Mus musculus: one gene and its partners. The protein of the gene in region 7 interacts with the protein of the main gene of each other region in a pairwise test. Links are inferred from orthologs where the notes say so. Each region holds a gene or a part of one and is shown on either strand. Other genes may lie near its edges.

What was found.
Region 1: the proteins of Itsn1 (region 7) and Ap2b1 interact in binary tests that used the Homo sapiens proteins (3 or more experiments, as listed by UniProt). The link is inferred for Mus musculus from reciprocal best matches to the Homo sapiens genes ITSN1 and AP2B1.
Region 2: the proteins of Itsn1 (region 7) and Cyth1 interact in a two-hybrid assay, tested with the Homo sapiens proteins (2 studies listed by BioGRID and IntAct). The link is inferred for Mus musculus from reciprocal best matches to the Homo sapiens genes ITSN1 and CYTH1.
Region 3: the proteins of Itsn1 (region 7) and Disc1 interact in binary tests that used the Homo sapiens proteins (3 or more experiments, as listed by UniProt). The link is inferred for Mus musculus from reciprocal best matches to the Homo sapiens genes ITSN1 and DISC1.
Region 4: the proteins of Itsn1 (region 7) and Wbp11 interact in a two-hybrid assay, tested with the Homo sapiens proteins (2 studies listed by BioGRID and IntAct). The link is inferred for Mus musculus from reciprocal best matches to the Homo sapiens genes ITSN1 and WBP11.
Region 5: the proteins of Itsn1 (region 7) and Snap25 interact in a two-hybrid assay, tested with the Homo sapiens proteins (2 studies listed by BioGRID and IntAct). The link is inferred for Mus musculus from reciprocal best matches to the Homo sapiens genes ITSN1 and SNAP25.
Region 6: the proteins of Itsn1 (region 7) and Dlgap1 interact in a two-hybrid assay, tested with the Homo sapiens proteins (2 studies listed by BioGRID and IntAct). The link is inferred for Mus musculus from reciprocal best matches to the Homo sapiens genes ITSN1 and DLGAP1.

The regions. Positions count from the first base shown.
Region 1 is NC_000077.6:83,337,180-83,340,726, reverse strand, and holds part of Ap2b1 (AP-2 complex subunit beta), read right to left. Parts: intron 1,415-3,547; coding exon 1,299-1,414; intron 1-1,298. UniProt on the Homo sapiens protein: Component of the adaptor protein complex 2 (AP-2). Adaptor protein complexes function in protein transport via transport vesicles in different membrane traffic pathways.
Region 2 is NC_000077.6:118,245,746-118,249,834, forward strand, and holds the start of Cyth1 (cytohesin-1), read right to left. Parts: upstream 2,814-4,089; 5' UTR 2,716-2,813; coding exon 2,694-2,715; intron 1-2,693. UniProt on the Homo sapiens protein: Promotes guanine-nucleotide exchange on ARF1, ARF5 and ARF6. Promotes the activation of ARF factors through replacement of GDP with GTP.
Region 3 is NC_000074.6:125,052,666-125,057,012, reverse strand, and holds the start of Disc1 (disrupted in schizophrenia 1 homolog), read right to left. Parts: upstream 2,819-4,347; 5' UTR 2,784-2,818; coding exon 2,729-2,783; intron 1-2,728. UniProt on the Homo sapiens protein: Involved in the regulation of multiple aspects of embryonic and adult neurogenesis. Required for neural progenitor proliferation in the ventrical/subventrical zone during embryonic brain development and in the adult dentate gyrus of the hippocampus.
Region 4 is NC_000072.6:136,825,386-136,829,380, forward strand, and holds the start of Wbp11 (WW domain-binding protein 11), read right to left. Parts: upstream 2,832-3,995; 5' UTR 2,635-2,831; exon of another isoform or gene 2,181-2,634; intron 726-2,180; exon of another isoform or gene 725-725; 5' UTR 680-724; coding exon 616-679; intron 163-615; coding exon 131-162; intron 1-130. UniProt on the Homo sapiens protein: Activates pre-mRNA splicing. May inhibit PP1 phosphatase activity.
Region 5 is NC_000068.7:136,772,434-136,775,980, reverse strand, and holds part of Snap25 (synaptosomal-associated protein 25), read right to left. Parts: intron 2,087-3,547; coding exon 1,961-2,086; intron 1-1,960.
Region 6 is NC_000083.6:70,423,291-70,427,606, forward strand, and holds the start of Dlgap1 (disks large-associated protein 1), read left to right. Parts: upstream 1-1,501; 5' UTR 1,502-1,598; exon of another isoform or gene 1,599-1,608; intron 1,609-4,316. UniProt on the Homo sapiens protein: Part of the postsynaptic scaffold in neuronal cells.
Region 7 is NC_000082.6:91,727,972-91,732,185, reverse strand, and holds the start of Itsn1 (intersectin-1), read right to left. Parts: upstream 2,816-4,214; 5' UTR 2,587-2,815; intron 2,579-2,586; exon of another isoform or gene 1,651-2,578; coding exon of another isoform or gene 1,611-1,650; intron 1-1,610. UniProt on the Homo sapiens protein: Adapter protein that provides a link between the endocytic membrane traffic and the actin assembly machinery. Acts as a guanine nucleotide exchange factor (GEF) for CDC42, and thereby stimulates actin nucleation mediated by WASL and the ARP2/3 complex.

The DNA of each region.
Region 1 (3,547 bases), on a different chromosome or scaffold from region 7:
CACGAGGGAATAAATTAACCTGTGGTATAAGAAAATACCATTATCTTGTGTTTAAAAATCAACCTTTCTTATAACTACGTATTCACCTTGCTGAATCTATACGTCCTTTACTAACATAACTTAAAATTTTATTTTTATTACTGAAGACTGAACCTAGGATCCAACACATACCAGGCAAACTCTTTCCTATGAGCAGTATTCTCAGCCTACTGCTCTCCTCTTGTTTAAAGCAGGGTCTTGCTAGGTTGCAAGGGTTGGCTTGAGCTTGTCCATGTCCTGTCTTGGCCTCCTGAATAGCTGAGATTATAGGCCCATGCCATCAGATCTAGCTGGCTAATGTGATTTTCAACATTAGACTGAAACAGAATATATTAATGTGGATAACTAGTATACTAGGCCAAGTATCTGCCCTATTCCTACTTATTAAACCAGACTCTGACTATTTTCTTGAAATTAAACTGTCATAACCCCTTATTTACACAAGTTTTACACATTTCTCTATTGATCTTTTTTTTTTCCTTAACCTGTAACAAAACAGTTTAGAAACTTGATCCTTCACTTTTGGAGGGAGTTGAGTAAAAGGTGGTGGTCCTCTTTCTAAAAATAACACTTCTCAAGACAAAACAAAAAAAAAATCTCACAAAAACCCAAATCCTGCACTAATTCTGGACTGCAGGTCTCAGAATCAAAGTATTTTGTTTTATGAACTAAGAGCCCCAGTAAAAACTTTGTGATGTAAATGATCCCTGTGGGAGCAGCCCCAGTGTGTCAGCAGAGGCCAGGGGAGTAACTTATTGAATGCACTCTGCTGCTCCCACAAGGCAGTGGGGCCCCATGCTGAGCAAACAGCATGGCGGCTGGAAAAGTTATTCTGAGAGGAGGAAGGACACAATCATTGGTCTGCATGGAGCGAGTGTATCAAGACACCTAGGGATAAATAGGCTTCCTGTGTAATGGTAACTCTGACACAACAAACAATCTTATGTGTTTGATGTAGTCTATGCCAAGTATATACTTAAGCTAAGCCTCATTTCTACAAAAATAATGAACAGCTGCTATGGTGGCTCATGCCTGTAATCCCAGCACATGGGGCCAACTTAAAACTCCATTCCCATATTTAAACGAGAAGTTTTAGTGTCTGTTTGATACCCACTATGTATCTCTGACTTCATTAAAAAAAAATCTACTATGACCAGTTATATATGGAATAATAATTCTTACCGAGTCAATTTCAAAGTGCCTTACTTATACGTTTCCCAAATGATCTGAGAAAGAAGATTACATGAATTTTGACATACTTGTTGGGGTATTTTCGGAAGATGTCCCTGATGACAACAATTGCCTCTTGGACCACATAATTTACTTTGGTCTGGATTAGATCAAGCAGTGTGCTTACACAGCGTTCTGCTGATTGCTAGGGAAAGAAACATCAACACTTAAGTTAATCCAATAACACTATCTCAACACAGAAAAGGAAACATACAAGTACACTGCCTGAGTCAGACAGGCACTGACTCTGCTAAAGCTACTAGAGGCTAAATGATACAATGTATATCAGCATTAACAATTCTAGGAATATACCAGATTTTATTCATTAGCAAACACATTGAAAACAGTTTTGGGTTTGGTTTTGTGTGTTTTGCTAGGAGCAAACCTCGGGCCTCCCACTGGCTAGTCAAGAGCTCTGCACTGAGCAAGCGATCTCTATCTTCCACATAACTCTGTTAAACGAGTGAACAGTAACCTGGACAATGGGGAAAACATTAAGAAAACCAAACAAACAAAAGCCAGGAGAGTAGAAGGAAAGGAAGGTAACTGAAGAACACATCAACACTGGGGATCCTTACTGGAATTCTTAAGTGAACAGACACTGAATAGGGTGTTTTTGGTGTTTCTTTACTGGCCTCTCCCTTCCTCCCACCCTCCCCTCTCCTTTCCTTCCCTCTCCTTTTCTTCCTTCCCTCTCTCCCTCTCTCTCTAGGAAGTAGGTAGGGGGTGTGTATGTGTGCGTGCTCTCTCTCTCTCTCTCTCTCTCTCTCTCTCTCTCTGATGTGGTTTCTGAAAACTGGGCTCTGGTTCTCATGACAGATCAGCAAATACTCTTAACCATTGAGCCATCTCTCTGGCCTCCAGCACAGCGTGTATCTAAACCTAGGAATTTTGTTTGGACTTACAATTTTTTTTTCATTTATCTATGGCTCAAAATATTCTAAGAGATTTTGTTTATTGTTTTTTGTTTTTTGTTGTTGTTGTTGTTTTTAGACAGGGCTTTTCTTTTTCTTTTCTTTTCTTTCTTTCTTTTTTTTTTTTTTTAAGACAGGGTTTCTCTATTTAGCCCTGGCTGTCCTAGAACTCACTTTGTAGACCAGGCTGGCCTCGAACTCAAAAATCTGCCTGCCTCTGCCTCCCAAGTGCTGGGATTAAAGGCGTGCGCCACCACACCCGGCTCTAGACAGGGCTTTTCTGTAAAGTCCTGGCTGCCCTAGAACTTTCTCTGTAGACCAACCAGGCTGACTTTGAACTCTGAGATCTGCCTGCCTCTTGCTCCCAAGTGCTGGGATTAAAGGCATGTGCCACCACATCTGGCTCCCATTCATCTTTTATTAATTGAATATATACTACAAACTGATAAAATAGATTTCTTGATACTGTGATTTTTTTTTTTTTTTAAGGATAGGATTGTGAGAAAAGTTCCCAAAACTTAATGGCAAGTCTGAACAATTATCCCTCTGAACTATTACAGGTCATTAAATTGTGTGCCTCTTGTCACAATTCAAAAGGAACCACACAACATCATCTAAAACTTTTGACTGTCACAAGCCTCCAGATTTAGTCATCTAAAGGGGACAGAGGTATGAGGTCCAATCTAGACTCTGGGAAAGTCTATTAAGTCTAAAAAGCAATCAATAAGTGGTACTGTATTAGGGCCAGCCAGATGGATCATCAGATAAACGCACTAGCCACCAGGCCTAATGACCTGAGACTGATCTCCAGGAGCCTCATGGTGGAAGGAGAGAATCAATTCCTACAAACTGTCCTCTGACCTCCACATATGGACCTTGGCTCATGCTGCCGCCTTGAACAATAAATATATAAAATAATAAATAAATAGGTAGCATCAAAAAAAAATGAAAATCAAAACAAAATACAATACCTAAGAACACATATTAACCAAAAGCTATGTACAGAAAAGAAAACAAAATAAAAGCCAGGCGTAGAGGCTCATGTCTGGAATCCCACATTTGGGAGACTGAGGCCCAGGGAATGTGAGTTTAGGGCTAGCCTGGGCTATATAGTAAGACTCTGTCTTAAAAAGTAAAACCAATGAGCACCCCAAAATGCTTGGGGGGCAGGGGGTATGCTGAAAAGATAAAAATCTATAACTAAGAAATCAATAAATAATAACAAAATTATTTATGGATATGGAAGTATCAAAATAATCTAATACAAAAGAGTTAAAAGCCATCCTTTTGGCAAGTGGATCTAGGTAAAGAAGGGAAGGAAGCAGGGGCAGTGATGTTTTGTTAAAAATTCTTTAATCTGAGCC
Region 2 (4,089 bases), on a different chromosome or scaffold from region 7:
TTCTCTCTATAGTCTGATACTCAAACTGGGAGGCTCAGTCAGACACAGAATCAACACAGTGCCAGCTACTCAGAAGGCCGAGGCAGGAAGATCACTTAAACCTACCAGTTTGAGGCCAGACCCATGGAATCATAGGGAGATGCTCCCCTAACTCAAAATGGAAAGAGGAGATCAAGAGAAGGGGGAGAAGAGAGGAGACAAGGAGAAGAAGGGAAGGAAGGAAAGAAGGAAAGAGGGAAGGAGAGAGGGAGAAAGAGAAGGAAAGCTGGTCTCAGTCTCCACATGGCCATTTTATACTATATGATACTCGAGGAGTTCTCTTGTATTTAACCCCTCTAGATCCTCCCAAGTAAAAAGACGTAAAAGTGTATAAAGGGGGCAATGAGCTTCCTTTTCATCCTCCCATGCCGCTCTCTTGAAAGCTTGCACGAATGCCCACATCTGGGATGATGAGATGTCCCAGTGGGTTCAAAAGCGCTTGGTGTTAAGTCTAGCAACCTAAGTTTCATCCCAGGACTGGCAGAGTGGAAGCAGAGAACCCACTCCTGTCTCATAACCTCCACGCGCAATAAATAAATAAATAAATAAATAAATAAAATTTTAAAAAGTTAAAGATGTGAACATCACAATCCTCAAGTCTTTAAAAGTGTTTACTCACATGGCAAAAGGGAAGCTGGGTTTGTGGATGGCTACTACGATCCTTATCCTGAGTTATCTAGGTAGGTGTGACACACAAGTGTCCTGTGAAAGGGCAGCAATTAGACAAAGTGGAGAGATGCTATCCACTGGCTTTAAGGATGGATTCCAAGGGAAGCGAAGCATCCTCTGGAGCTAGGAAAGGAAAGGAGGCCGACTTTTCCCTCCAGTCTCTGGCAGGAACACTACCCTAACAAAATCTTGGTATCAGCCCAGTGTGACCTAATTTGGACTCTCACCTCCAGATCTACAGAGTAAATTTGGGTTTGAGTCCCTCTATTCCTGGCAGTAACAGGAACCAAAGCCTTCCATTTTTCCTTCCCTAGTACAAGTCATGCCTGAGTCAAAGAAGTCACTATTAAACCAACCAGAACAGCAGCTCTTGCCTCACCCAGCGGGCAATAACCAGGGGAGGGTAAGAACAAAGCTTGGCAGAACCCTGGCACCCAGGGGACAACAAAGGACAAGGGGGAGAGAAAAGAGCAGTGGGGAAAGCCAGTGAAGGTTTCCAACCGAAGAAAAAAACCCTGAGGGTCCAAGGGGGCCGAGCAATCCCTCGGGGCCTGCCTGCAGGTGACTGCTTTTCTATCACAAAGGAAGGCACACACCATGTTTACCTGGAAGGTAGCAAAAGCCGGCTTCTTCCACTGAACAGGAAGGCACAGACCTCTAACATTCAAGGAAACAGTCAGTGTTCACACATCTGAAGCTCTGGGAGTTGTTAGCCATAATCCTCATGGCTTCACCGGGTCAGGGTTCTCTAAGGGCTCCCCTGCAAAGCCCTAACACTCTTCCCTCTTGGTACTTTAATATTCCTCACCAGAGTGTGAGGAGGCAAAGTTACCTGTGAGGCAACACACCGGAGTTTGGCTCCACTAAGCCGTATAAGCTTGTTAAGTTCCTGAGCCATACTTCCCTGCCAAACCAGTAAAAGGTCACCACTCGCCCTACCTGCCATTCCTTCTTCCATTCCTCCTGGAAACAATGCTAACAACCACGTAAAGCATTTCAAATAACCTTCTACAACTCCAGAGACTGCACACCCTCGGAGGGACCAGAGCCCTGGCTGTTCGCCAACAAGCAGCAAGGTTAGCCAGGAGAGTCTAAATCGCTTCTGCCCTGGTGGAGGATGTGGACTGGTGTCATTACCCGGCTACCTTCAGGCAACAGCTCAAACTTGATCCCCTTGCCCGGTGTGGTCAGGCCCTGACTGACAGACCAGGGGACCAGGAGCTAATTCACAATGCGACGGTAGCACGAACCTGACCGACGTCCCCGGCTCAGAGGCCCCGGTCAGGCCACTTGTGTTCATCTCAGAACAAAGAGCTGGATGGGGCACATAACTTCTAACACCCCTGAGAGCCGGAAACTACTAGGGAACACAGGCCGGCCGGGCGTGTTAGTCCCGCGGCCGCTCGCGGCGTCTGCCACCCCGGTGACAAGCAGCAGGCGACTCGTCTTAAAGACTACGACCCCGGTCACCTGGCCCTGACTCCCCTCGGCACCCCGGGGCTCCTCAGCATCCTCATGACCCTCAGCGCTCCGGTTAACCCCCGCCGCGGAGACCCTCTAACCCCGGCGACTCCCCTTCCGGGGCCCCTAGACTCGCAAACCTCAGCCCCAGCGACCCCCAGGCCCGAGTAACCTCGGTCCTGGAGCCCGAAAGCAATTCCCGGTTTTACACCCGTCTCCGTCGGCGCCCTCAGGTTCGGGCGACCCCTGCCGTGACCCTCCAGGCCTGGGTGACCCACAGCCCCGGCAACCCTCAGGCTCGAGTGACACTCAGTTCCCAGCGACCCTCAGGCCCGGGTGACTCTCAGTTCACGGCGACCCAAAGGTCCAGGCGACCCTCAGCCCCGGCGACCCTCAGGCCCTCGAGCGTCTGGGCAGTCACCCCCGGGCCCTCGCACTGCCGCCACCCGGCGCTCCGCGTCCCGTCCCAGGGACACCGGCGCAGGCGGAAGCTCACGAAGGGGCAGCGGACCGGCCCCACTCACCATAGCTGTCATCGTCCTCCATGGTGCTGGCGACCGGCTCCGGCCCGCGACCGCCACTGACCTCCCGCAGCCCGCGTCCTGCCAGACACCAGCTCGCCACAGGCCAGCTCCGAGCCGCGGAGCCCCGCCCCCCGCACCGCGCCCGCACTGCCCAGCACGCGCCTGCGCACGCGCCGCCCGAGGCACCGCCCCCGGCACAAGGTCCCGCCCACAGCCAAAACGCGCGTGCGTGAACGCCCTCTAGGCCCCGTCCCCTTGAGGACCTCTTTAGTTTGCGTTTACGCAAGCGCGGCACCTAGGCTCTGCCTATCTATGACTCCGCCCCCAAGTCACGCCCTCTCTCCTTAGGTACCGCCCCCTCTCCTCGGGGCAGGGCAGTTTCGGGTTTCAAGTTTCACAAGCGTGCGTAGGCCGCGGGCGTGGTTTACTAGCCAGGGCCAGCGTCCAGCCACTCGGCTGGTTAAACATACTCAAGGTCACGGGTATAACCCGAAGGGTAAGGTGGCCCTAGCTGTATCCGCCTCGGACACCAACACGTCGAGGAGGAAATTACCTAAACTCATCTGTGTTCGTTACTTATACTTCCTACCGGCGCCAAGTTGCACAGGAGGACATAACTTCCAAATTAGTAGCCTCAATTTACAGGCTCTGCTGCTTTCTTCGGGAGGACCGGTTGATCCCCCTTTGCAGTTGTGGCCAGGGGCTGCTTCTGTGGAGGTGAGAGCATTTATGCGGTAGGAGGTCTCTGCAGAATTAATCAGTGGAAGCACCAACCAATGATCTGAAAAGGCCCTTAGGGAACACCCTGTCCTGTGAACTCTAGCCAAGTGACCAGCAGGGAGTGCATTGCAGCTCAATGACAGAGCACTTGCCTAGCAATGTGAGAGACCCTAGATTGCATCCCAGAGACCAGGGGAAAGGAGAAAACTAATTCCCAGACTCAGAGGGTCTTATATGGGCTGGGGCATCTCTGGGTGGTAGGTCCCTGTCCAGGATGTCCTCCACCACAGCATGCACAAACCCTTCTTACCCCAGAAAGGCCTGGGGTAGTGGTGCTTGCCTGTGGCATACCTGTTGTTAGTCTAGCGTCCCAGGAAACTGAGGCAGGAGGACAATATAGTGAAACTCCACCTCAAAAACAAAACAAAACAAAACAAAACAAAAACCTACAAATACAGCAAAAGAGACACTGGGAAGTTTTGGGACGGGTCTTCCTGATTGAAACAAAGACTTGAAATCCCCCATGCAGCCCCAGAACCAGCCTTCTACCCCCACAGCTCCCTCTCTCTGCAAATCACTGCCTGTAGAGGGTTGTGGGAATCTCTGGGCTTCTGCAGGGCATGAAGGGGCCAGGCCAACCACATGGGGAGGAAGGAGAGTCAGGTCTTTCCTTGTG
Region 3 (4,347 bases), on a different chromosome or scaffold from region 7:
ATAGATAGATAGATGATAGATAGATAGATACATAGATAGATACATAGATAGATAGATAGATAGATGATTGATAGATAGGTAGGTAGATAATTGATAGAAGATAGACAGACAGATTGATGGATAAATGATAGATAGGTAATAGATGATTGATAGATGCTGAAGATAGATGATAGAGACAGAAGATATACAGATAGATGATTGATAGATAGAAGATAGATAGATAGATAGATAGATGATAGATAGATAGATAGATAGATGATTGATAGATAGGTAGGTAGGTAGATAATTGATAGATGATAGATAGACAGACAGATAGGTTGATGGATAGATGATAGATAGATAAATAGATAGATAGATGATTGATAGATTGATAGATAGGTAGGTAGATAATTGATAGAAGATAGATAGACAGATTGATAGATAAATGATAGATAGGTAATAAATGATTGATAGATAGATGCTGAAGATAGGTGATAGAGACAGAAGATATACAGATAGATGATTGATAGATAGGTAGGTAGATGATAGATAGATAGATGATAGATAGATAGATAGATAGATAGATGATAGATAGATGATAGATAGATGATAGATAGATAGATAGATGATAGATAGATAGATAGATACATAGACAGATACATAGATAGATAGATAGATAGATGATTGATAGATAGGTAGGTAGATAATTGATAGAAGATAGACAGACAGATTGATGGATAAATGATAGATAGGTAATAGATGATTGATAGATGCTGAAGATAGATGATAGAGACAGAAGATATACAGATAGATGATTGATAGATAGAAGATAGATAGATAGATAGATAGATAGATGATAGATAGATAGATAGATAGATAGATAGATAGATAGATAGATAGATAGATAGATAGATAGATGAAGATAGGTATAAACGGCAGAAACAGAAGACCAGGTATTACCTTTGACCAGGCAAAGGTCCACGCTCAGCCTGGGCTCCACCTGACACCTTCCCTTCAGCCTGTAATTGGAGACACCTGCATCTGACTTTGAGCCCCAGTCCCTGTTTAACCACCAGGGCCACAGGCAGGTGACTCCAACCCTTGCCACATCCAAGGGAAGATGAGGATGGTAGCACCAGCCCCTCACCGGTGTGAGGGGGACCTCATCAAAGGGCAGGACCAAGTGCCTGGCCCATGCACTCTCTGCAAAGTGGCACCTGTCGCCTGTAGGCTGTCACCTGCCCCAGTTCCAGATGTTCTGCTCTCCATCCCAGGGCAGCACTCTCAGGGCTAAGGTAATAATTACAGCCCAGGTGCTTTCTCTTTCTTATAAACAGAAGAGAAAGCCCGAGACTTGGAGAGACAGCTCAGAAAGCAGGTTTCTCATCCAGGGCTCTATTTGCTGTGGGCAGAATCCTGGCTAAACCTCAACGGTCTCCATGTCAGGTGCCAAATGTCTTTTCAAATACCCTGTAACTCAGACACTAACATGTCACACTGGCATTCCTGTATTGCCCACGATTATTTAGGTCTTGCATGGTCAAAATAATACTTAAGGACCCGTGCGTAGTGGAGCACACCTGTAATCCCAGCACTTGGGAGGCAAAGGCTAGCAAATTGGAGGCCAGCCTGGGCTAGGCAGCAGATTTAAGGCTAGCCTGGGCAACTAAGAGATTTTTGAGAATTTGCTTTGTATCGCAGAGATTTGGCCAGGGGTTTCATGTCCTCCTACCACATTAAACCCCTTTTAAAATCTACCACGTAGGCAGGAAAATCAGCTCCATTTTACAAATTGAAAAACTAAGGCATTCCCGAGTCCAGGATGCGGGTGCAGAAGACTCTTACCCTACACCCACCTACCAACCCTGTATTTTCCAACTCCCAATTGCAAAAATGTCTTCATAGAAGCCAGTTAAGGAGGTAGGGAAGCTAGTGATTAGTGCTCCTTTCACAGATGGGTAAACTGAGGCTCCAAGAGCCAAAAGAAGCTCCTAAGTCCTTTGCCTTCTCTCCTTGGCACAGCACACGCCCAAACTGCAAAGCCCAGTCTGGAGCAGATCTCCGTGCTTGTTTTATTTTTCATTGTTCTGATTTGATTTTGGTTTTTGAGATAGAGTCTCACTATTGTAGCCCAGATTGTATTAGAAAGTCTCCACAGTCTTCCTGTCTCTCGAGTGCTAGGAAAAGAGGCGTGTGCCATCACGTTCTTTTCTTGGGGTTTCTGACAGTGAGTTGCTGAGGTTGAAAAGCGGCCACCCACTTAACTCGATGTCATCACCGGGGTTGGTACGTGGCCCAAGCTGACAGAGGAAATGGAGCGGGTCCCCTCAGCCTGCGCTGCCCTGCGCGTCACAGTCCACACTCGGAAGTGGGCGGCGAGCAGCCCCACGGGAGGTGCGGGCTGCAGTTCCCACACCTCTCTCAACCTCGCCCCGCGTCCCCGCAGCGTCTGCGCCGGCCACCCGAGGGAGTCCTGGGATCGAGCTGCACTTGGGCGCTGCGGAAACCTTCGCGGCCACCGGGACCTCGCAAGGAAGGAGTGCGGGCGCGCCCTTCGCCGACTGCGCCTCAGGGCGGCCGGACTCTCGGGACGGGGACGCGCTTGGACGGGAGCTGCAGTGGGAGCTGGGGACACGACCGCCCGCACCCTGCACTCCCCGCTCACTGCCTCGATTTCCCTCCCCTGCATCAGGGTGCGCCCGGATCTCGGCAGGCCTCGTTCGCCCTCCTCCAGAACCCCGGGCCCTACCTGCGCCGTGGCTCGGACTGTGGATCGGAGCGCCCCGGGGACCCCCGCCCTGCATCGTGCGGCCGGCTGCGCCCCGGACGGCGGTGACTGTGGTGGTGATGGTGGTAGCGGCGGCCGCGGAGGCGGCGGGAAACGGGCAGGGGGCCGAGCCGAGGGCTGGCTTCTTCCTCCTGCCCAGGACCGCCGCTTCCTCTCCAGCCTCGGCCCCTCGCTAGCGCGCGCGCGCCGCCCCTCGCGGCTCCCAGACCGCAGCGCAGAAAGTTTTGCTTTTCACTTGGAGGAAACCAAGGAGGGGAAGTGTGATGGGGCAGTGTGGCCAGGGACCGAAAGACTGGGCGCTTCCCAGACCCTGGGAGTAAAAGGCGGGGTGGTCAAGAGAGGGACTTCTTCCTACCAAGTCGCGGTGAAGCCGAAGGAAAGTGACAGATGACAGGTCGGGGGGGGTGGGAGCAGCTGTTAAAAATGACTTGAGAATCGAATCTCTGGCAGCACGGGGCTGGCCAGGAGCACGGCACAAGCCTTGGCTTGTGCCAAGCTCCTGGCAGCTGGCTCACCTCCCCCATCCCTTCCCTTTGGCTGCTTCAGCAAAGCACCTGCTACAGGACAGTGGGTACAGGAAGTGCCAGTCAGGGGTTAGGCCCGTCATAACCTCGCCTCTGGACCCCGAGGCAAAAATAAACCTACAAAACTGAACTGCATGGAGTCAGCCGGAGACCTGACTGTGGGTGGAGCATGGGGCAGTGGGAAGAAGCCTGGGAGAGTGCGTGCTGGAAGGGAGGAGCCTGTGGCCCTAGAAAAAAGACCAGGTGCTGGAAAGGTGGGCCAGAGCAGTTGCCTCTTACCAGGAACCTTCGGGTAAGCACGGGCGGATGCGGCTGAAGTTGATAAAGACATGAGCAGAGTCAGGATTTAGTGCAGTGGGTAGGGTAACAGGGTTGAAAAAGGCACTGTGTTGGTATCCTAGTTTGCTTTACCTGTCAGTGTGACATAGCCTAGGGTCCTGTGAGCAGAGAGCTTTAGTCCATGATTACCTAGATCAGATTGGCCCGTATCGCGTCTGTAAGAAAGGTCTGGACAGTTAACTGGCCTTCGAAGGCCCAGCCCACTGTGGGCGGCACCATTACCTAGGTTTCGAACTATCCAAGAAAGCTAAGTGAGCTGAAGCCCATCTACGAGCCAGCTGGCAAACAGCGTCCTCTGTGGTTCCTGCTATACCTGATTGGCAGTGAAGTGAGCTCTCCATTGGAGGTTAATGCTGTGTGCTATAGCAAGCAGGCCTGCCTTAGGTTCCTGCCTTGACTCCCCTCAGTGATGGCCTGCGATCGATCTGAAGTGGTCAGCTAAAACGAATGGAACGCCTCTCCTCCTCAGGAGGCACTCCGTAGTAAATACAGTTGAATTGGCCAGCCTGCCATAAACACTCTCAGGTCTACCTGACTCACTCCCGAGGATAACTAGGCATACCTCTGAATATATAACATAAACTGTCTTAAAACAGGGGCTGGAAAGCTGGCCCAACAGTTCAGAGCACATAGCATTCTTGCAGAGGATCAGAGTTCAGTTTCACAGCATCTATCCTGAGTAGCTCACTGCTACCTGCAATTGCAGCTCCAGAGGAC
Region 4 (3,995 bases), on a different chromosome or scaffold from region 7:
TTATGTCAGTTTTTTACCAGTCAATTTTCTGGCTTTCATCAGCAGTATAGCATAAAGCGTCTTTCCTGGCAATATAATTTGAAATTTCACAAATGTTAGAACAATTCACAGAATGTTTCTAAATTCGTACCTTTTTCAGTTCTCTTTTTCGGGCTTCCTTTCCTAAGGAGAGAGGAAGAGAGGCCATAACTCACACTTCCATCACCAACATTACTATGAGCTACTACAACTGTTAACAGTGTCGGTGAATGGAACAAACATGGCTTTGACCCACTAGGGAACTTAGTGCTTCCAACCCTCTCAACCCAAAATGCCAAGATGTGTTCTTTACAGAAAAATAACTGAACCACAAGGAAGAAAAGGGATTCTCAAATCACACACTTAAAAACTCATTTGTTAAAAATTCTAACATAAAAAAGACTTAATTTTCTCCTGCTAGCCAGTCAAGTATGAGGAGAAATGTGTTAAGCAGCTTACACTCTCAACATTCTAACCATGAGTCCATTTTAAGAATTCTACATGACCTCACACACCCCACTCTACCAACGCTGAACTTAGGCCACCATGAAAGAGTCTGCCAGTTTTAACCCTTCTACTTCTTCCTTCCGTACTTACGGGCTTGGTCTGTGGGGTTCATAAACTTCCCACTCTTGGTGGAGGATGTTGATCTTCGTCCCATGGTGACAATTTATATGATTTACTTCTTCATTAAAAAAAAAAAAAACTGGAAAGAAAAGATATAAAGAACTCAGTTTTGCTGTATGTGTAAAAAGACTTCCTTTTACGAATTTGCATCAATTTCTGTAAAGAAATATCCCTTTGGTTCTCTACTTGTAAGACCGTGCTCTTTAATTTTGAATGAAGCATCCAAGAAATTATTTCTTTACCTTTCTTTTTTTTTTTTTTTTTTTTTTTTTTCGAGACAGGGTTTCTCTGTATAGCTAGCCCTGGCTGTCCTGGAACTCACTCTGTAGACCAGGCTGGCCTCGAACTCAGAAATCCGCCTGCCTCTGCCTCCCAAGTGCTGGGATTAAAGGCGTGCGCCACCACGCCCGGCTTTCTTTACCTTTCTTGACCACAAAGAAAAGGCTAGTATCTGTACTAGTCAACACAGTGAGAATATCATTAACTACTCAAAAGTTTAACCCTTTCCTATGGATTATATAGTGCTGTTAACTGAATAAAGAAATCAACAAGAACTTTGCACTTATAATGCTATTGTTTGGAATATAGACTGAGCCATATGAGACGATCTCAAAACAAACCAAAACCAATTGAGAAATATTCTAACAATGCAATGCAAACCCTGAGGACATCTTTCCGACCTGTATAAGGGGATATGAAACAGGAGTGGAGATAATGAATCTGGGTTAAAGACAAATACATGCTCTTTACTTTCTCCTTAGACTGCTCATTCCACACGCCAGATGGCAAAATGCAATCCATTCAAACATATTTATCTTGATTTAATACCAAATCAAATGATTTATGACTCTCAAACAAAAGAAATAAAAAATGAAGTATTAGAACTCCTCAAACTTAACATTAAAGTATATTCTTACTAGCACATATGACTCCTGATTTATGTATTTTGAGGGAATTAAAAGTGGTAGTCACGGTAGGGAAATATTTTAAGGCCAGGCTTTCATTATTATCACTTCTTTCTCTTCCATTCCAAATGAATGAAACTTCCAAAAATTAGCCTTGCCCATAGTAAAAAAAGGAACAAATATTTCCTGTTCAAAGTGTGCGACACTTTCCTACAGGCTACATCTCCTGTGGCTCCCCCTTTAAGCATTAAACAAATCTACTTTCTTTCTACATTAGGAAAGGGAAGATCCCGAGGTAAATTTGAGACTCTAATTCCCTTGGCTCCTTAGGTGGGACTCTGTAAGTTGTTTTAGTTAATGCTTTTTTTCATCAAGCGTTCAGCTGGCCGGCTCCCTGCTGCTTCCCAGATATTTCAGAACTGATCGGTGTCGATTATGTCATTACAGATGTTTCTCTATCAGAAAGCAGAAGGGGCAGGAGTTTGGGAAGAAGGGAAGAGAAGGGTACTGACTATAGGGAACTACAAAAAGGCACGGATACAACAAATTCTATTTTTGATCTTTTCTTTAGTGTTTCCCTTCTTAAACCAGCCTCGGGCTCTCGTTTTGACGCCATCCCATCACACACACCTAAAAACCAATCAGCTACGAGTCAAGGAGAATTTTTACAAGACCATAGTGCCTCTGCCTGCAAACGTTGGCAGAGACAAGGTCAAAAGACCATGGGAACCCAGGCAGCACAAACGCAACCCGACCGGTCCGGTCCGGTCCGGGTCCACTCCAGGAGGCCTCACAGCAACTGCCGAAACCATAGCGACGGTTGATAGCGACTCGAGCGGCTAGACGTCAGCCCGCCGCCACCGGTCGCCGCACTCGGGCGGTGGGTCTGACCCGGCGGGAGATCCCGCCCGAGAACCCGTCGGACGCAGTGCCAGGCCGGCCCCGAGCCCTGAAACCCGAGGCTCCCGCCACCCCGGGCCCAGCGGAGGAAGAGCGCGGCCTCTGGGCCTGGTGTTTCAGAGAAGGCTTCGCAGGCCCCGGGGAGGGTCGCGGAAAACGGAGCACCGAGTCCCCACGCACTCACACGACTGCGAGGCTCCCGGGACGGCGAGAGCAGCTAGCGGGCGGTCCCGGAGGACTCTCTGCGAAGGGGCCTTCACCTCTGCCCCTCGGTCAACCACCCGGGAACCGCCATCTTGAAACCTCGCGCCCCTCCGCCAGCTCACGTCACTTCCTGTTCCCGCTGGCCGCGATCTCACCGCGTTGCCAGGCACTGGGCCCATAGAGCGAATACAACAACTTCAGAGCCAGAGGTACTTCCGCTCTCATTCACTATCCGATTGGATAACTATAGGCCAAGAGACCCGCCTCATTCCAGAGTATTGTAGATTGACACTAATATAACCCAATAGAAATAAAAAGTAAGGAAGCTGCTATTTGATTGGCCAATTGTTCTCAGAATTCTGACGCATTTCCGCAACTGCTTCTCTCTGGGGACACACTAGGTAGCGGTATGCGTACGCTTCTGTGTCGGCCATTGGATCTGTGTTAGTTGTCGTGTGTAAATGGATGCTGTTTTTCAGGAATGCTTCCATAGAAAACAAGTTAGGTAATAACACTGGGCACCGAGTCTAAGGTGCTCAGCAAACATCAGCCCTCTAAACCTACAGCATGTGATGAACTGAACAAATAGTTCCTAGGGGAGACTCATAAATCTACACGAAAATGTATATTTTAAAAGAGAAACGGTACATTTGTCGATTTTCCAGAGGAGAAGTTATTACATAACACTTCAAATGAACTTTGCATCAACCCAAACTCCTTTATGATGTCATTGCACACTCTAGATTTATCTGAAGTCTTCCTTTGAGGGTTCTCTAGAGTCACAGAACTTGTGGATAGTCTCTATATAGAAAGGGACTTTGTTATGATGACTTACGGTCTGTAGTCCACCTCCCCAACAATGGTCAGCTGTGAATGGGAAGTCCAAGGATCTAGGAGTTGCTCAGTCCCACCAGGCTAGTAGATTCCAACTGATGGGCTGGCAAGTAAATGCAAGCAGAGGAGGAAGAGAAAAACTTCCATCTTCCAATGTCTTATAGATCTCCAGAAGAAGGTGTGGTTCAGATTAAAGGTGTGTACCGCCACGCCTGGATCTGGGCCTTGTACTCAGAGATCTTACCTTACTCTCCTGGGGATACATAGCCACTATGCCTCAAGATTTCCATGCCAAGATCAAGGTCAGAAACTTGTATTTCCCAGCCTCAAGATCTGGATCACAGGTGAACCTTCCAATTCTGGATTGTGGTTTGTTCTAGATATAGCTGATAACCAGAAATAGCTATTATATTTCCCTTCTACATCCCCATTCCTTAAGACTCCTCCCCATCCTTTCCCCTTAAAGGTAAGCATTTAAAACGAAATCTTCATAAAGTGTGAACTTGG
Region 5 (3,547 bases), on a different chromosome or scaffold from region 7:
TTTTGTCTATTGTTTGTTTTGTTTTGCTTGCAACCTTGTCTCCATATATAGCCCAAGCTGACTTTGAGAACTCAGACCTGATGAGTGCTGGGATTAGAGTCCTATGCCACTATGCTTGGCTCCACTAAGATATATATCAGCCTGAGACAGAGCAAATTTAAAGATTAAGAGAAAACCTCCTATCATTTACATTTCATTTGAGTGATCATCAACCATGAACAAGTTTCTGTACCACAACTACTTCCATCCCTAAAGCACAGTGGAACACCAGAGCTGTACAAATCAGAGATGCTTGTGTCAGTTGTCAAGATATTTGGATTGAATTGCTGTGGATTAAATATTGGCGCGTGTCCCTCTGTCTTTCCTTCTTGCATTTTTCCCTGCTTCCCCCTTCCTTCCTTCCTTCCTTCCTTCCTTCCTTCCTTCCTTCCTTCCTTCCTTCCTTCCTTCCTTCCTTCCTTTCTTTCTTTCTTTCTTTCTTTCTTTCTTTCTTTCTTTCTTTCTTTCTTTCTTTCTTCGGATCTCCCATAGTCCATACTTTTACAACCACTGGCTTACAAATTATTAATTGAGTTTCCTTGTAAGCAGATGGAGGCAAAATTAGAATTGTCATTTGTAAGGCATATCTAGACCCTATGACTTATGGCTCACATTTGAATACCAGCATAATTGATTGGCCAATAACTACAATAACTTAGAGATAAATAATTAGGAAGACAAATATCTTCACCTATGCTGAGTTCTGGTATAACAGTGTATATCATTGATTCTCAGCCTGCTTCATGCTGCAATCCTTTAATGCAGATTCTCATGTAATAGAAAATTATTTTTGTTGCTACATCATAAGTACAATTTTGCTACTGTTTTCAATTGTACTGTAATTATTTCTGGAGACAGAGGTTTGCTAAAGCAGTTATAACTCACAGGTTGAGAACTGTTTGTTGATATGTAATAAGTCTAAACTGTTTTAATTGATAAGGCTTACACTTTCTTTGACAAAATTACGCTTTTCTGGTTAAAACAAACTGGTGGTTGTATGGAATGAATTGGGGGGAGCATGCCCAAAAATATAATAACTTTAATCTTTCCTTTGTCATAGAAAATATTTGGCTGTTTTTCTGCTTAGTGGTTTCCTTTCCTCAGGCCAAGATATTGGCTGACATATAATTTGAGCTTTTAAAATAGGTATTTATTTATTTATTTATTTATTTATTTATTTATGCTTCTAGATCTCAAAAGAAGTGGTTAATGTGTATTCCACTTTTTCCTCCTTTTCCTACTCTAAATCAGGTCTTTGACTTCCCCTGCTCTGTGCCCTGAGAAGCTGACCTTTATTACTGTACTACTGGCTCCTTGTTTGCTCTGGCTTCCAGTGGGCTTTGAATAGTGGCCTGAGAGAGACTGGAGGTCATGAAAGCAGGGTTTAGGGCATTTGCTTCTCTTTCTTGTTCTAGTCAACTCTAGCTATGACTGTATTTCCCTACCATAAAACCCTTTTGTTCTTGGCCTATCTCCTGAGAAAGGAGTGGTAACAGCTTTCTGGTACTCCTAGACTATAAATGCTACATTACTCTTGCTGTTTACCAGGCCTCTGCTAAAATAAACTCAGGTCAAGTGATGTCATTCCATACCAACTCTGATTCTGGATGTGGTCATGCTTTGCACCATGGCAAACTGTGCCCATGCCATAGCTCAGAAGGAAATCATGTCTTGGATTTTGCCTGCTTGGAACACTATCATTACCATGAAGAAACCTGAGCTCTTTGCTGGAAGACCTCATGCAGGTGGATGGAAGTGTCTCTACTGATAGCCCAGCCAAAGACCAGACAAGATAATGAATGACAAGCTATCATAATCTAATCATAGCCCAATGAGGGAGCCCAAAAATTCCTTGCAAGTAAAAGAAAAGAAAATAGTTCAGTGCTGGTTATCCATCAACAGAGTACTGCAAAAAACTCACCTGCGGATGAAGCCACCACTGATGGCCATCTGCTCCCGTTCATCCACCACACGGGCAGGCTGGCTGGCCACTACTCCATCCTGATTATTGCCCCAGGCTTTTTTGTAAGCATCACTGGATTTAAGCCTATGCAAAAAATTGGGTGAGTGACAAAGCCCAGGGTGGAGGAGCAAGCTCACAGAAATGATCACTTCTTTAAGCGAAGAACCGAACCAAGCAAATGAGTTTTAAGTTGAGGCATTAGAGAATACCGATATATCATAATCTGGACCCAAACAGTTGGCCACCACCACACCTCAGCTATTCAGCATTTTATTTTTAATTAAGCCAATTTTTTTGGGGTTTTTTTTTTTTTTTGGTTTTTCGAGACAGGGTTTCTCTGTGTAGCCCTGGCTGTCCTGGCACTCACTTTGTAGACCAGGCTGGCCTTGAACTCAGAAATCTGCCTGTCTCTGCCTCCCAAGTGCTGGGACTAAAGGCGTGCGCCACCACCGCCCAGCTAATTGAGCCAATTTCAATGGTCAAGACTAATCTTTGGTTTGTTTTGTGCTTTAATTGGATTTAAGATGAGGCTTAAGATAGCTGGTGAACATTCAGTTCTATTTCAGTGACATGATTATATTTTGAGACACAAAACACAGAAAAACATACTGGCAGACAGACACAAGACAACACTGCCAAGTAGAGGGTGTACATCACACCACAGTAACACGGAGTCATGAAGAAAAACATACTTGACGTTTAAACACACCATCATGCAGTGATCTTTGCTTAATATCTTTCCCTCAATGCATGTGTGTACTACATTTCAATGTTTCATGAAAGACACAAAGGATTGGTGGTTGGCCAAGGGTGATGGTCTTTGGGTTGCTTCTAGAGTGGTTTGAAATTGATAATATATCGGTACTTCCAAACAGTCACCATACATCCAGGGTTGATGTACAAACCTTTGTCCACAGAGACAAAAAGTAAAAGAAGCATTGTGAAATGAATGCAGGAAAATAGAAGAGAGAACAAGCCATCTAGCACCAAAGAGGAACCCCACCCCACCCCACCCTGTGTCTTCTTCATGCACCAGCTACAGGCATGAGTAGAAAGTGAAGCATTCTCATTTAAGCCAAACTACTCCAGAAGTTGACCATTCTCGAAATAGGCACTAGCAGGACAGTAATAGCCTTCGTGAGGATTTGAAACGCAGTTCAGTAGCTTCTTGGTTGGGCCAAAGGGCAGGGTAGTGTGCAAACAGATTCCTACTTTAAACTATTCTGGGTTATCACAAGGGAGAGTGGTTTGGAACTAGTGTGGTCTCCATGGGCTACATTTCACTGACCTGCCTTGGAACAAAACTTAAAATCCAGGCATACCTGTTGTGCCCAATAGAAACATATAGAGCATATTTTGGTGGGTGTGTTGTAATTTAAGGCAATCAAAGATGTTTCTAGGTTCTTTGCATAGTAGAAACCACATGCTATTGAGTCCAAGAACAACATACATCCTTCGGTCTCATTTCGCAGTTTTTATTCTAAGACAACAAGATTATATACTACTTTCCCCCACTTTTTCTGTGTTTCAAAGCCATCTCTTAAA
Region 6 (4,316 bases), on a different chromosome or scaffold from region 7:
AGCAGTAGTAGCAGCACAAACCCTACATCTCTGTTCTCATCAAAGAACCAAATGAGCCCCACACTAGTGGGTGGAAGCCATGTTCCCCTGGGAACAGGAAGGAGAGGGTGTTGATCAATCACGGAAGCCATTCCCTTATTTCATGATGTAGTGTTTATGGTGTAGTGTTTACATGTAACGTACATGCATTGTCCTCCGTAGCTTACAATGTCTGGCAGAGCATAAAGACTGTAAATATCTGCCACTCAGCACTGTTTCTCTATTAAAGACAAGAAGAAAGAAACTGTACCTATGTAGTTTTGGATTGTCCGTTAAGTGACTCTGTAGACGTGGCATGCTTAGACACAGAGGGCTGGCTTTACCTAAATTCTCATGACAAGTTACCACATACTGTCTCAATCGCCAAGTGATACATAAAGCAACAGTTCGTATTTAGAGAGAACATTTTTATTCTTATGATTCATTGTAAAGAAATGGGACTTTTAAAAGTGATAAAAACAAGTCTAGAAAGCTGGCTCAGCCATTAAGAGCATGCCTTGCTCCCCTAGCCTCTCCTGAGATCTGCTGACTGAGGGAACGGCCCAGCTTTAGTGCCTACTTTGCTCCAACCTTAGTCTCAGGAATAAGAGAGCCAACTTAAGTTGCAAAAGCACTCCACGCTCTTAAGATCACATCGAGACCTTAAGACTACCCTACAGGAGGAGATTCTAGCAGGCTGTGTAGAGATAAAGGCTCATCAGTATATGACATTTGATTACTCACAGCCATGGATCCATATAGCTAGGACAAAGCAAGAGAGGGAAATAATGTTTGCAGCCTGGCTGAACATCAAAAAGCCATGGGAATGTTCCACAGGCGGGTTCCTAAACATCTGTGGCAGAAGCAAACAGACTTTCCCCCAGAATACTTATGGATCTTGATGCCAAGCCAGGAGTGTGAAGGAGTAATGCAGGGAAGATAGTGGAGAACTGACTGCTGAGGCCCTGAACTTCAGCGGAAAGCGTTGAGGGCTTGATCGCTGTGGCCTGGCATGAGGACTGGGCATCCTGCGGGAGCTACTGCATAAGATGGATACCAAGAAACCAAAGATCCTTGCGTACCTGGAAGGTGGGACGGGAAGAAAAGAGAACACAAACAGAGCCCAGTGATTTTTAAATCCCTGAGGACTAGATGTTCACTACCCACACTCCAGGGTGCCCAGTAAATTTGTTCAATAAATACTTAAATATGTGATATGAAATCTGGAAAACGGGGGGTGGAATGGGAAAGTAGGGTTTTACCCAAACAAAATAAGCACATTTAAAAGGATGAAAATTTAGCAGGGAGCTGAGTTTACTTTGAGACTGTGGTAAAATGGCAAGATAAAACATGGTTCAAAGTGCACAAGGGAAGTGTGTGGAGGTGAGGCCTAGGCTTCTCAACGTCCGTTCTGGAAACATGGCTGACCTTTCATGTCGTATTTGCATATGACAAGCAGACTAAAGTATGAACTGTACTTCTGACAGGTTACATCTGCTCTGGGACTTGCTGAATGTCACCTGAAGGCCCCTGTGTCTGCTTCAGAGAGCTCCTGTTGAATGACAAAGCCGCTAAGAGCAGTAAGTCCAGGTGGGGAATCCGTGTGGGGAAAGCAGGGCCTGTGAGACCCACCATCCATCCTCCATTAAAACAGAAAAGTAGCAAAGTACAAGTCGTCCTCCCAGGATTCACAGTTAACTACAGGCCTCCACTGCATCTCACACACAGACACTACACACATACACACACACACACATACACACACATACACATACCACACATATATACACAAACACACAAACAAAAATACACACACACCACCTATACGCCACACACACACATATATACACACACACACAAACACACACAGCACACATACACATATGCAAAAACTAACACAAAAAAACACACACCACACATACACAAACGCCACACATATACAAACACACAAACAAAAGCACACACAGTACACAAACACACACACATACCTAACTCATGCACACACATACACATATATACTATACACAGACACACCATGTACACACGCATATACACACACCACACATATATATACATACACAGCACATATACAAAAACATACCACAAAATAAAAACAGTCCTATTTCTCTGGGCATTAATCTGACAGTATTAAAGATATGCTTCAGGTTTGGGGATGTAGCTCAGTAATAAAGTATTTGTCTGTCATATACAAGGCTCTGGGTATTGTGTCCAGCAGAAATTCTTCGTGGGTTTATTTATTAGTGTTGGAAAGAAAGCCAAAGAGCATTCACAGTCTGCTTATTATATAGTGTGACAGGAATTAGAAACAAAAAAAACAAAAACAAACAAACAAGAACTACTCTTTCTCGTGACACCTTTTCCGACTCTTGAAGATCCCCTTTTTGTTTGTTTGTTTGTTTGTTTTACTTAGTTTGCTGACCTTAACTGGTACAACAACTTGATAACATTGACATCTATGAGAAAAAGATGAGGTACATTCAGTACGGGGGAGAAAAGATGGGGAGAGGAAGGCCTTGGGGAATGGCACACTGTGTCCATATCTGTGCTTTGCCATTGTGTGCTGTGAAATATTTAGGGGGGCAGAAGAAGAAAAATTATTTTAGAGTATATAATAATATGTTAACAATGTATCTTAAAATATTAATACCATAGTAAAGAACTGAGTTTGGGTGACCTCCATTATTATGTTCATTCTTCAGGTATGAAAGAAACAGTATCTGAAACACAGAAAATACAGAAGGCTCATAAATACAAAGTTATTTGTTGTTCTGCTATCAGCGTGGTAACAAATTTACAGAGGGAGCGTCTACTTAGTTGTTATATCCCTATATATGAATTGTTTCTGATATGGCCTTATGTCACTAGTATGCCCTGCACACTGGAGTGTCAGTGGACTCCTCAGAAATTGTCTTGAATGCTCTATTTTGAATCATTGTTTCTTTGACTCTTGATAACCTTTGAACCATATTACCAAACCTTTGAGACTTCTCATTCGAGAAACTGGGGCATCATGGTCCTGGCATATATGTGAAAGAAGGAGCGAGGGAAAGGGGGAAAGGAGAGAGAGAGAGGTGGGGAGAAACTGTCAATGTTTCAGTGCACAAAATAAAGACAAATGCATTGGTAAGTTAATTGGCAGAACTGGTGGTTGTTTCCAGCATGCAGGTATGTTTCTTATCCTCCCTAGGGGAACGTCCTTCCTGCTGCCTGGACGGTGCGCCCTCGCCTTTCTTCTCTCCTACATCTTTCCTCCTATTAAATGGGCATGATTTGGAATTATTAGTTTGTCTTTCATGGAGATATTTTGCCCTAAATGTTACCTCTTTGAGATGTTCCCATCGATATTTTTTTTTTAATTCCTAACTATAGAACAAAAGCTGAGTTTTGTATAGAGTTGTGTTTCCATGCCATATATTGAGAGAGGATAACTGTAAAAGCCTTAAAAATAAATTAGTTTCAGATGTGAAGCTTCCTAAAAAACAATGAGCTCAAAACAAAGTGAGCTCCTCGGGTTCCCACCATCTGTCCTTTCGTCTCCCAATCTCAGCTGTTCGCTTCCCCATCCTCTACCCAAAAATGCAGAGGTGAGCTGGACCCAGGGCCATGTCTCTCTCTATTCTGTGGTCTCCACCAAGAGCACAGTCTCCAAGAACAACCCTAGGGACCTCTTACACCCACTTAAGAAGCTTTTATCCCAATACTGCTGCCACCAGTGCATTTTCCTCCTGGTTTAATATATTAGGACCATGCTTCCCTAGTGTCTGTGACTGCTAAAATCTTGTTGATGAAGAAGAAGGAGGAAGAGGGGGAGGAGGAAGGGGGAAGAGGAGGAAGGAAGAAGAGATGTGAGTCCCAGGCATCTCTTGGGCAGTAAGACGTTACATGTGTAACCAGTGCTAGCATCTGTGGCAACATCCAGGAGGGTTCTGTCAGCTAGCATCACAGTAACTAATACTCGCAATAAGCAATCTATTTTTAAGTCTATACATGTTTATTTTGGCTCGCAGTTTTAGAGCTTTTGGTTAATGGGAAGTTGTCCCATTAGGGAACGGGGTTTGTGCTGAGGAAACAGAACTGGAGAGTGGCACACAGCACTGCATCTCATGGCAAAGAAGAAAACTGAGAAAGATAAAAAGACAGTTTAAAAAAAACTAGCACAGACATTGCAAAAATAGCAGGGAAGAGCTGCTTAAAGACTAGAGAGTAGAAAGAGAGGAGGGGGCCAGTAGATGCCAACAGACGTAGACCAAACTGTGGAGGTTAGTACAGTGGCGCAT
Region 7 (4,214 bases):
CCAAGGTTCTCCAAGTTCTCTCTCTGGCTTGGAGAAATTCCTGGAAACTGTATTGACAATACTGACTACTTCCCATTGTCTGACTGAGCTGGAGAGACAGAAACCTGGTAAGCTGATGTAAAGATATCTGAATGCCAGACTTAGATGGAGCCAGTAAGTGGAGCCATTCAGGAGGGAGTCACTAAAAAGAGAAGTCTGACATAAACCCAACCTCCATTAATTAATTTTCTTTAAGTCACAGGTTGAGCAAATTAAAAGGATGAGAGTCTAGAGACTGTAGCACAAGGCCCCAGGATCTAATGCCAGCAGTACCACACACAAAGACAACGTGAGGCTGCAGATGTAGCTAGGTGCTAGGCTACACTCTAGCATGCTCCAAGGCTTGGCTCAATCACCAAAAGAGAAAAAGCACAGGCAGAGGAATTTACCAGGGCCTCCCTTTTAAGCTCTTGCAAGTGTTTTAAGGGTGTATCTCAATCTAGGTTATTTGGGGAAAAGATAAAGAATGCCCAGAGGAAAAAGAAACTGCTAGTCAACAGCAAAAGAAAGAAAGAAAGAAAGGAAAAAAGGAAGGAAGGAAGGATGGATGTGGGCTGGAGAGATGGCTTAGCAGTTAGAGCACTGACTGCTCTTCCAAAGGTCCTGAGTTCAAATCCCAGCAACCACACGGTGGCTCACAGCCATCAGAACAGCTACAGTGTACTCATATAAATAAATAAATCTTTTTTTAAAAATTAAAAAGAAAGAAAGAAAGAGAGAGAGAGAAAGAGAGAGATTCAAAGAAAGAAAATGCTGAGGAACAAACATTTCAGGGAACTAACTTGCCGCTACTCATTTTATGCCCTATTTCACAATGCTCAGCATCTGAACAATCCACAGGGTTCCAAAGTACATTAAAATGTGTTCATTTCCTCTCTTACTCAGGCAGAATAATAATAGTTTTGTGGCGGTACCACAATCCTCAGCAATTTCAATGACAGACACTTTTTTTTTAAACACATACTCTCTGAGAGGTGCCTTACTGCAGCCACTTAAAAGTGTATAGAAATATCTATGCCCTGTCACCAAATCAGTGGCCTTCACTTCTTAATTTAAATCCTTTATAATTTCCTGAGTTCTTTACATATCTCCTACAGAAAGACGTTGCTTTTTAAAAACTTCTTAAGTTATAAGGGAACTCACACACACATACAAAATATTTCAAGCAAACTAGTGTAAAAAAAAAAAAGTAACAAAAATGGTAACCATAATGGTTGCTGAAACGTCTGCACTCTTCACCGTTAACATCTTCTAAAAATAAAAGTATCCCAACAAATAAATACATTCCTCTAGTTTGGAGCATTTAGAGAAACACCCTGCCAAGCAGCTGGCCTGCGGGCTCCTGGCCCCAGCTCCTGCCCTCACATCCTGTCCACTACATAATCCATGAGCAAGCCTTTCTCTTCATCAATTCAGCGGGATTAGTAAACCGGCCTCCCTGAAAATAGAACTGATATTTTCCACGGGCATTTGTTCCCATGCTTTCACTATCTATGCTATTTATCAGACTCTTTTTTTCTTTTTTATCCTCCGTGTTTCCGACCACGAAGTACCAAGAGAAAGATACCAACCGATAAACACAAAAGAACCGCATCTGGCCAGAGTCTGCATGCATTTACATTTCCAGGTTGCTTCTGTTTTCCGAAAAGCAGTGATGAGGGCAAAGTCGCAAACTTTCACATTCAAGATGCTACCAAATACCTCTACACCCTCAAGCTGCAGCAAGAAGCCACTAATCTATTCCTTCAAAAGCAAAGCCTGTAGTCTGAATCACAACAATAGAAGACTGCTCATAGGCAAGAGGATCAGCGAAGTTGTCTTCCAAAGCAAAGGCAAACAGAAGTGAAGGGAGATCCAGCCAGCTCCTCCTTGCTTTTCTTTCTTTCTTTTCTTTTTTTTCTTTCTGGGAATCCGGATTGCATTTTCTGGTGCCCCCCCCCACCCCCAAGAAGGGACCGCAATTATGCACTGGGTCCACAGCAGACACCCGAGTCAGTGCGTGCGCAAGGAGGGCGAAGCGGCCGAGAAGGGGACGCACGCCCGCTGCAAGGGTAGCCGCTTTCTGTTAAATGCCATCAGAGCCAGCCCCGGCCGCACCACTTCGGCCCAAACGGCATTGACCGCCCTTCACTTGACAGGGTATTCCAAGCAGGCGCTAGAGAAAAAGGATGAGCCGGGGACTCGAGGCCGGGGGCACCCGCGGGCGGCGCGATGCGGCTCCCGCGAGCTCGGGATCCCCGGGAGGCCGGGTCGGCCCGCCACCCTCCGGCGGCCGAGGGCAGAGGGGTCAGCGGTGGAAGGACCGCCCGCCGCGATGCCCCCCACGGGAGCGCCGGCCGTGGCTGCGGACGCCCATTCAGCCCGAACCCGTCCCGCGGCCGCCACCGCCGCGGCCCGCCCGCCCCGCTGCCCCCGGGGAGGATGAGAAAGACCGGGCGGAGCGGCGACGGCGGCCGCAGGGACGCGCGCCCGGCCGCTGGACCCGACCCCGGGGCGGCCATCGCCGACCCCCGCCCGCGCGCCAGGCCGCCCGCGTCAGCTCCTCACCTCATCTCCGGGCGGGTGCGCGCGGCCGCCCCTCACACAAATCAGTGCAGCCCGCACGCCGCGCGGAGGAACGCCGAGTCCGCAGCCGCGCACACCATCCCCGCCCGCCCGCCTGCCTGCCTCCCGGCCGTCCCGGAGCCCGCTCGGGATGCTCCCTTGCGAGCCGCCGTACTACGGAGCAACCAAGCTGCGCGCCCTCCCCGCGCCGCTCCACTCCTCTCGCCCTCCTTCGCTCCTTCGCTCCCTCACTCCCGCCTAACTCCTCATCTCCCTCCGCCGCCGCCCCTCCGCCCACAGCCTGCCCTCCGCCCCACCCATAGATGGGCGGGGATAACCGCCTGCCAATCGGACGGCGGAGACCACGCCTTCGCTCTCTCCTATGACTCCGCCCACTAGGTGGGCAAAAAAGAAGAAAGGAGCCAAAGGAAATAGAGGTGTACAGAGTGACAACGAGATACACCAATGAAGTAGTTTGGATAGCACCCCCCCACACACACACACTTTTTTCCCCTCCCATCCTTGTCTCGTCCCTTGAAGGCGTAACTAGAGGTTTCTGCTCTATGCGTGCGGAGATTTTGTTTCACGATTTGGCGCTTTGCTCTTTTCTATGCGCGACAGTAGCTAGGATACATTCAACTAAATTGAAGGTTTTGCAGAAAGAGCGTGGGCACGAAAGGCGAAAGACACAAAGACTGAAGAAAGATGGTAGGGGTTACGGTTGGAATGAGGAAGGGTGTGGCCTTTTACTCTAATTTGCATAAAACGGAACCCATCTTGGCAACGCCCAACTTCTCCCATTTATTGGTGGTCCCTGGGGCGGCGACTCGTCTCTCTACGGGAAGCAGCATGCTGGGAGATGTAGTTCCGGGTTCAGTTGCCATGGCGTTCGTCACAGCCTCCCCCAGATCGGTCATCCTGCGGTAGTGACGGGCAGTCTGACCAATGGCAGTACTGTTTGGACCCAAGAAGGCGGGCTCTCTGCAGAAGGACTGGGAAGGTGGCGGCGGCGAAGGCGCTGGCGGTTGAGGTTGCTCCGAGCCAGGTGAGCCAGGGAAGAACGATGTGTGTCTCTGAAATGGGACTTTGGGCGAAAAATGGAGAAACGCCTGAAGGAGCTGTCTAACCCTGGGGAGACTGGTACTTCGCATCACACGCCGACCTCAGAGATGCCCTGGCTCAGGCCTAGCTTGGCCGAGGCCGCCGAGGGGCGGGTAATACTAGATTTGACGGACAGTTCCTGACCCTGGCTAGGTTTTGATTGTAGACTGATCTTTGCTTCTTCCTCCGCGTTTATGGAGGCAAAGGTCTAGAACTGCCTTTCTCCTGGGTTGAGTCCTCCCCGCCCCCAGCTTCTCCCTATCACTGTTTCTGATGCTGTCTCTATTACTACTTCCCTTGTCACCCTTCTTATCCTTCTCTTTGCATTTCCAGTAAGCGGTTTCCTAAAGCAAACAAGGGTGGGTGTTCGCAGTAATGGGGCCTTGGGTCAGGAATTGCCTGCTTCATTGAGCCGGCCATACTTGAGCCATACTAAAGAATTATCCCAGGGTCGTGAGGAGGTGCAGATACTGATTCTGGATTTGGGCCTGGTGGTCTGCATTTGCTTTTTAAAAATTATATATATATAT